2 linked regions of the Cricetulus griseus genome follow. The protein of the gene in region 1 purifies or fractionates together with the protein of each later gene. This does not show direct contact. Links are inferred from orthologs where the notes say so. Each region holds a gene or a part of one and is shown in the gene's direction. Other genes may lie near its edges.

What was found.
Region 2: the proteins of Cstf3 (region 1) and Cstf2t purify together in Homo sapiens (co-immunoprecipitation; 4 studies listed by BioGRID and IntAct, counting the BioPlex papers as one, with this or other methods). This does not show direct contact. The link is inferred for Cricetulus griseus from reciprocal best matches to the Homo sapiens genes CSTF3 and CSTF2T.

What each region holds. Positions count from the first base shown.
Region 1 is NC_048599.1:73,080,865-73,085,185, reverse strand, and holds the start of Cstf3 (cleavage stimulation factor subunit 3), read left to right. Parts: upstream 1-1,480; 5' UTR 1,481-1,680; coding exon 1,681-1,707; intron 1,708-4,321. UniProt on the Homo sapiens protein: One of the multiple factors required for polyadenylation and 3'-end cleavage of mammalian pre-mRNAs.
Region 2 is NC_048596.1:30,364,194-30,368,269, reverse strand, and holds the start of Cstf2t (cleavage stimulation factor subunit 2 tau variant), read left to right. Parts: upstream 1-1,241; 5' UTR 1,242-1,345; coding exon 1,346-3,310; 3' UTR 3,311-4,076. UniProt on the Homo sapiens protein: May play a significant role in AAUAAA-independent mRNA polyadenylation in germ cells. Directly involved in the binding to pre-mRNAs.

The sequences.
Region 1 (4,321 bases):
CTCTGTGAGTTTGAGGGCAGTCTGGTCTACAGAGTGAGTGACAGGACAGCCAGAGCTACATAGTGAGATCCTGTCTCAATACATTTCTTTTCATACCATCTTTTCTCAGTAAGTGTTGTTATAACTGTATGTATGTATAAACATATATATTCCTAAATACATAAATACAATCTGCCCACCCTGTATGCTTTGTATGTATATTTTCAGGGCTGACCATCTGGTATTGGATAATCAGTAGGTATTCTCAGCATTTCTTGGTTGCTTATAGCAGTTCTTTGTGTAGGGCTGAGGCCTTTGAGTTTTCCCCTATCCCCTTTGTTTTCTCTATTGTTGTTATACTTGCTCAGCTCATGTGTAGGCAGTCATGCTGGTGAGGTTTATGGATGTAGCTTTTGACAGTCTTAGGAGATGCAAACTCACAGCAAATTCTGTGTTCCTCTGACATTTAAAATTTTCTACCTTTCTCTTGCACAATGACTCCTTATCTTAGGTTCGAGGGTTATATTGTAGATATATCTGTTGGGATTGTACCCCACAACTGAATTTTGATTGTTTGTGGTTTTCGGTAATTGTCTGTTGCAAAGAGAAATTTCTTTTTCATTTCTTTTCTTTCTTTTTTCAATTTTATTTATTTAAATAAAATTTTGTTTCTTAAATTTTATTTATTTAAATAAATTTTATTTTTAATTTTATTTATTTGTTTTTCGAGACAGGATTTCTTTGTGTAACCCTGGCTGTCTTGGAATTAGCTCTGTAGATGAGGCTGGCCTCCAACTCAAAAGAGATCCGCTTGCCTCAACTTCCCACCCTGAGTGCTGGGATTAAGGGCGTGAGCCAACACCTGTGGGTATAAGGACAAACCATTAGAATGTAGTCAGCTGCTGTTGTTATTCCTATCTATAGACAAGGAAACTGTGACACAGAGAACGCAAATTGCCTACCTCTAGAGAGGTGAGCAGTCTGGATTCAAAGCAACATCCGTTGTGCGCTCTTACCGGTTTTGCAGACAACAAACCATGGTGACATGCTTAAGCTAAAATCCCAGTCTAATAAGGAATGGTGACAGCAAAAGTTAATACGGACTTGATATGTTCCTCTCATCCCCAAGAAAAGAAAGAGCATTAGCCAAGACCACAGAATGCTTATTCCCTAAACATGAGAGGCGTTTCACTGACCCCCAACGCTGCTTCCTAAAATGGTCAGTTTGCCTGACCTGAACTGATTGGCAGACAGGTTTCAACAGGGAGGGGCCCGGCTCTGCAACTCAGTAATTAAATTCCAAGAAGCGCGGGAGATGCCAGACCAATAGACGGGATCTTTCGGGTCGCCCTCGGAAATCTGGGCCGCGGCGTCATCAGTTCCGGGACGTGACGATAGCTCCTGCCTTGAGCCCGCCCCTGGTGATGACTCTGCGCTTGTGCACGCCTAAGAATCCGGGAGTTGAGTCCTAGCCCCGCCCATTGTCCCGGAAGTGAATACGGAAGCGCCTCACACCCCTCAGCCGGCTGGGGCGCAGCCATTTTAATTCATATCTGAGTGGGCGGTGGCGAATCGTGTGGCGGCTCTGGCTGTGCTGGGCAGGGGGTAGTGTTACTGGTTTTAGGGGGTTGTTTTTAGCTTAATTTTTCCTTTCTAGCTTCCCATTGCCGGCCAGTGAGTACGCTGTAATCCCCTGAGGCCATGTCAGGAGACGCAGCCGCGGAGCAGGTGAGGAGCGAGAGCGGTGGGGCCTCGTGGCGACCTCTTTCTCTCTCCGGCCCTGTGGGTGCGAACACTCCAGCGGTGCTGGCGTGAGGAGGGGCTCTGGAGGTCTGGTGAGCCCGGGGGGCCGGGGACGCCAGAGCACCCCCTGAGGGCTCCTAGCATTTTGGCTTTCTCCGTGGCGTTCATAAGGACCAGCATTTGACTCATACAACAGCTGGGAGGTTGCTTCGCCCCGTTTTCGCAATTCTTCGGTCCGGACGGTTTATTTGATACCATTTTGGTGTTCCGGTAGTTCGGATTTTTTTTTTTTTAACGTGTACCTGTCTTGGCAATATTTCCCTCTTCTGCTCCCTAGTTCCACCCACCCCCACCCCCAAGAAATAGAAACGAAACCAATCTAGAAGGTAAAAAGCAGCATTCCAGAAGCAGAGAACGGCTATGCCGAGCTTTGGGGAGAATTTTGTGGATTTTTCTCCCGCTTTTTTTTTTTTTCTTTCTCTCTGGTCTAGGAACACTTTGTTTTTACTTTTGCGGCTACGCAGACTTTGCAGGGTTTGATACATTGGAAACAGGAAATGTGCTTTAGTCACTGTAGGCGCCAGCTGTTTGAATGGTAGCTATGAGTGATATTTAAGTATTTTAAAAGTCAGAGTTTTAGAAATGAGATCTTCCCTCTTCCTTTTGGCTTTTTTTTTTTTTTTTTTTTTTTTTTTTTTTTAAGGTAGGGTTTTACTGTATTGCCCTGACAAGGCGCGACCTAGTGACGTCTGCTTCCTTGGCTTCGTGCTAGGATTAGCTGGGAATACTGACGAGCATCTCCACGCTGGGTTCTTTACTCTTTTTATAGCCTGAATTTTGTAGGATAACATTTGCCTTTTATTGTAAAAAACAAAAGAAACTGGTTTTATGAAAGATTTTTTTCGATCTTGATCCTAGTATTTTTTGGGGGGAGGGGTTTGAGGCAGGGTCTCTCTGTGAAACAGTCCTGGCAACTCATTCTGTTAGACCAAGTTGGCCTGGAACTCAGAGATCCGCCTGCCTCTGCCTCCCTAGTGCTGGAATTAAAGGCGTGCGCCGCCGCCACCACCACCTGGCCCCTAGTATTTTTCTTTTTTTTTTTTAAAAGAAAGGTAGTCCAGCGAAGTCCTAAATTTTCTGTTGGTGTAGCAACGAAATACGCTTGTATTTTCTTTTTTTCAAGTTCCCAGCTTATAACTGGAAACTACTGGAGGTTAATGGGTGACATAAATTTGTTAATGAAGTGTGGGTAGTCTATAAATTTAATTACTTTGGGAAAGAGCAAAATTCATGTTTTCTTGAGGACCGATTTCATCCTTGAAATATTGGCAATGCTTTTGCCCTTTATCTAACGTTGGGATGCTCACGAATTAAATGTCTTTGAATTATTTTATCAAAATTGTTTCTTTTACTCCATTCTTTTTCTGGGCTATTTTTGTTTTCTGAAAGTGAAGCAAATATTGGATGTGTCTGAAATTTATTGCTTTATATGAGATTGTAAAGACAAAACTATTGCCACAATTTTGTTTACAAAACTGTTTTTTGTTTTGTGTCATCCTGTTCCGCCCCAGTTGGAGATTGAACCCAGGGCCTTGTGCTTTCAGGGAAGCGTTCCACTGCTGAGTTATAGTCTCAACAAGAAATGTGATGTCTTAATAAAAATTTAAAAATCTTTATCTTCTGACCCCCCTTTTATTTTGACAATGTCGCTGTGTGGTCCTGACTGGCATGGAACTTACTGTGTAAATCAGGCTGGCTTTGAATTAATGGAGATAGCCTGCCTCTGCCTTGTTGAATACTAGGAATAAAGACAGTGCACACCACCACAGCTAGCTTTTTTTTTTTTTTTTTTTTAATTCAGGAAAATACTCTTACTCAGGCTTGCCTCCTTTGAATTTTATTGTGCAGTTTACAACAAAAAAAGTTGAAGAAGAAGTTCGTAAACACCTATTATAATTCTCATTGAACCCAACAATGGTTACAGGTTTTGTCATATATGTGTATGTGGTGATATATTTTATATATTGTTTTACACATGTGTGTTTACACATGTATTTTTTGTGTATGGTGGTTCTGTGGCTCAAATCAAGGGTGTTGCTCATGTTTGGCAAGCCCTCTGCTACATGTTTTCTTTTTCCATACACATTTCCCTGAAAGCTAACATATCACACTTCAGTCCAAACTATTTCAACATTCTCTTATATAATGACATTTGTGCTGTTATATAACTACCATACCATTATCCCACTCAAAATCTAGTTATACCATATTTCTGTTTTATTTTTTCTAGATAGGGCCTTATACAAGTTTGAGGACAGGCTAGCTTCAAATTCAGTTTGTAGCTGATGATGACCCTAAACTTCCACCTCTAGGTGGTACTAGGATCCTAAGTTCTCTCCAGTGCTCCTGGCTCCATAATGATGTACTTTTTGTTTTGTCTTGTTTTTCGAGACAGGGTTTCTCTGTAGCTTTGGAGCCTGTCCTGGAACTTGCTCTGTAGACCAGGCTGGCCTTAAACTCAGAGATTACCTGCCTCTGCCTCTCCAATGCTGGCATTAAAGGTGTGTGCCACAACTGACTGGCCGATAAAGATGTATTT
Region 2 (4,076 bases), on another chromosome or scaffold:
ATTGGAGGACCATTTGAACTACATACATAGTGAATTCCTAGCCAACCTGGTCTGAAGAGGAGCCCTGTGTTAAGACAGCAAAACTAATTTTAGTAACCTGATATCTTGATTTGTTGAATAAATTCACAACCAAATATAAAACATATGCTGCTGGGCAAGTGGTGGTGCACGCCTTTAATCCCAGCACTCGGGAGGCAGAGGCAGGCGGATCTCTGTGAGTGGAGGCCAGGCTGGTCTATGGAGAGTGTTCCAGGACAGCCAAGGCTACACAGAGAAACCTTGTCTAAAAACCCCCCAAAACAACAACAAGGACAACAAAACCAGTGGTGGAGCATGCCTTTAATCTCAGCACTCTCCAGAGGCAGAAGCAGGCAGCAGGTGGATCTCTGTGAGTTTACGGCCAGCCTGATCATGAACTTCAGGAGAGCACAGGACTATACAGACTCCACGTCATAGAGACCGTAACTCAAAATAAAATACAAAGAGAACAACTTAAAAATCAAAACTACCTAAATGTCCACAATAAAAGTTAAATTAATTCGATTAAATCTATACTCTCGGCCATACTTTTCAATTAATTCCAATTTAGCATAATATTAGTAAGTAGAGGAATGAGCACTTTGCCTGAGCACACAGAGAAAAACCTGAAAGGATCCTGCATCTTATAACAGTTTCAACAAGCCATAGCGTGGGGGCGGGGCTGAAGCTGACAGACGCTTTAGTTTGTCTCCCTGGGCATTAATTTTCTTTTATTGATATTTAAGGAGGTGTTTTAATATTAAGGTACAGGTATCAACATTTTACCTCATAATCTGGAACAAAATTTTAAATCTTTCAAACATTCTACACTAAACGGAAGCATCTGTGAAAACACATGGATCAGAAATTTAAACATTAAGCCTTAAATCAGCTTTCGTTTGGCGGTTTCCCGCTCGTGGAACGCAAAGAAAAACCGCCCCATCCCTCTGGGAAGGCCGACGCTACGGTTACCACAGTGAAGCCCGGTCGGCCATCTTTAATGTGGTCAGTTCTAATGCATCCGGTGACGGCAGGAAGAGGGGGCGGGACGCCGGAGAAATTTGACCAATAAGATCATGGAGAGGAAACACGCTGTCAGTAACCAGGCGCGGACAGAAGAGCGCGCGACCGGAGGCGGAAGGCGTTAGATAAATTAGTCCGGTCTTAGGAAGCGGTTTCTGCGGCCTAGCGGAACTATGGACTTATAGCGGAAAGGTTTCTCCCCGGAGTTTGACACCTGCTTCCGTTACACAGGGGAAGTGTGGTTGGCTCGCCAGAGGACGGCTCTTGGACGGATTTGCTCTCCGCTGTGTGCTCGACCGGAATCATGTCGAGTTTGGCGGTGAGAGACCCAGCCATGGATCGTTCACTGCGCTCAGTGTTCGTGGGGAACATCCCGTATGAGGCGACGGAGGAGCAGTTAAAGGACATTTTCTCGGAGGTTGGTTCGGTTGTCAGTTTCCGTCTCGTATACGATAGAGAGACAGGAAAGCCCAAGGGTTATGGCTTCTGCGAGTACCAAGACCAGGAGACGGCGCTTAGTGCCATGCGGAACCTCAATGGGCGCGAATTTAGTGGGAGAGCGCTTCGGGTGGACAATGCTGCCAGTGAAAAGAACAAGGAGGAGTTAAAGAGCTTGGGCCCGGCAGCGCCCATCATCGACTCCCCCTATGGGGACCCGATTGATCCAGAAGATGCTCCAGAGTCGATTACGAGAGCAGTCGCCAGCCTGCCCCCGGAGCAGATGTTTGAGCTGATGAAGCAAATGAAGTTGTGTGTCCAAAACAGCCACCAGGAAGCGCGGAACATGCTGCTTCAGAACCCACAACTGGCGTATGCCCTGCTGCAGGCCCAGGTGGTGATGAGGATCATGGATCCAGAGATTGCACTGAAAATTTTGCATCGCAAGATACATGTCACACCACTGATCCCAGGCAAATCTCAGCCTGGCCCTGGCCCTGGCCCAGGTGGTCCTGGCCCTGGCCCCGGCTCTGGCCCTGGCCCTGCCACTGCCCCTGGGCTCTGCCCGGGACCCAATGTTATGCTGAACCAACAGAATCCTCCAGCCCCACAGCCTCAACATCTGCCAAGAAGACCTGTGAAGGACATTCCTCCTCTGATGCAGACTTCTATACAAGGAGGAATTCCAGCTCCGGGACCAATACCAGCCGCAGTTCCCGGACCTGGACCTGGTTCCTTAACTCCAGCAGGAGCAATGCAGCCACAGGTTGGCATGCCAGTGCCCTTAGAGCGAGGACAAATGCAGATGTCAGATCCTAGACCTCCAATGCCTCGTGGACCCATGCCTTCTGGTGGCATTCCTCCTCGAGGACTACTGGGAGATGCTCCAAATGACCCACGCGGAGGGACTTTGCTCTCAGTTACCGGAGAAGTAGAACCCAGAGGTTATATGGGCCCACCCCACCAAGGTCCCCCTATGCACCATGGTCATGACAGCCGTGGCCCTTCCTCGCATGACATGAGAGGAGGACCATTAGCAGCAGATCCCAGAATGCTAATTGGAGAGCCCAGAGGTCCCATGATAGATCAAAGAGGTCTACCTATGGATGGTAGAGGAGGTAGAGAGTCTCGAGGAATGGAGACTCGACCCATGGAAACCGAGGTCTTGGAGCCACGAGGAATGGAGAGAAGAATGGAGACCTGCGCAATGGAGACCAGAGGGATGGAAGCAAGAGGACTAGAGATGAGGGGCCCTGGCCCTAGTTCCAGAGGCCCGATGACTGGTGGAATCCAGGGTCCTGGCCCCATTAATATGGGGGCAGGTGGCCCTCAGGGACCTAGACAGGTTCCAAACATTGCAGGAGTGGGAAATCCTGGAGGTGGTATGCAGGGGGCAGGCATACAAGGAGCAGGGATGCAGGGAGCAGGTATACAAGGAGGAGGAATGCAAGGAGCAAGCATGCAAGGGGCAGGCATGCAAGCAGGGATGCAGGGAGCAGGCATGCAAGCAGGGATGCAGGGAGCTGGCATGCAAGCAGGGATGCAGGGAGCTGGCATGCAAGCAGGGATGCAGGGAGCTGGCATGCAAGCGGGGATGCAGGGAGCAGGCATGCAAGCAGGGATACAAGGATCGAGTAAGCAAGGTGGAGGCCAGCCTAGCAGTTTTAGCCCTGGGCAAAGTCAGGTAACTCCACAAGATCAGGAAAAAGCAGCTTTGATCATGCAGGTTCTTCAGCTGACTGCAGATCAGATTGCCATGCTGCCTCCCGAGCAAAGGCAGAGTATCTTGATTTTAAAGGAACAGATCCAGAAATCCACTGGTGCTTCTTGAAAGGCTTTTGGTTAGGAAGTACTTAGTTATCCCTTCAGTGTTTATTGTGTGGCATGAAAAGTGGTGCAAAAAGCTGTCTTCTGTGTTCCCATACTTTAATGATTGAAGGTTGCCCTCTCCCTGGACCTTAGTCCTATTTCTAGTCTTTTTACTTTCTGTTTTCCTTTTTCTTTTTGATTGAGGATAGGGAGTGGAGGGAGTGGGCCTATTCACTTTGTCACTTAACTCCACTAGAAACCCTGGAAATGAGGACAGCATACCAAATAAGGTGGTATAGGAAGATACAGCAATAATAACATGTCTGCACTCTGTTAGCTGTATTTTATAAATATTGAGTAAACTGGGAACTACATTAAAATTGAAAGTGGCCTGTTACAATATTGATAGTTTAAAGATTTTTGGCTGTATATTGAACTGAATGTCAAACTGTGAAGATACACTTTTTTTGGAAAACCGAAACACTTAATTCTATTTTAAAGGCAATAGAGTACCGTATTAAGGTTAATATTTTAGTTATTTTTTGAAACATTAGAGCTAATAGTCTGTGGTAAAATTTGTAGCAATAGAGTTTTTTTTTTTTTTTTTTTTTTTTTTTTCCTTAGAGCTCTTATGGGAAAACTCAAGATGATGCCTCATTGATCTATCTGACCCTTCTGAAACTATTAGTATCCTTGCCTGGTCCCAACTGTGGTGGTTTTGCAGGACAGTTGTAGTGTGAACTGAGTTACATATAAGTCTCCTGATGAGACTCAAGTTATTGCTTAAT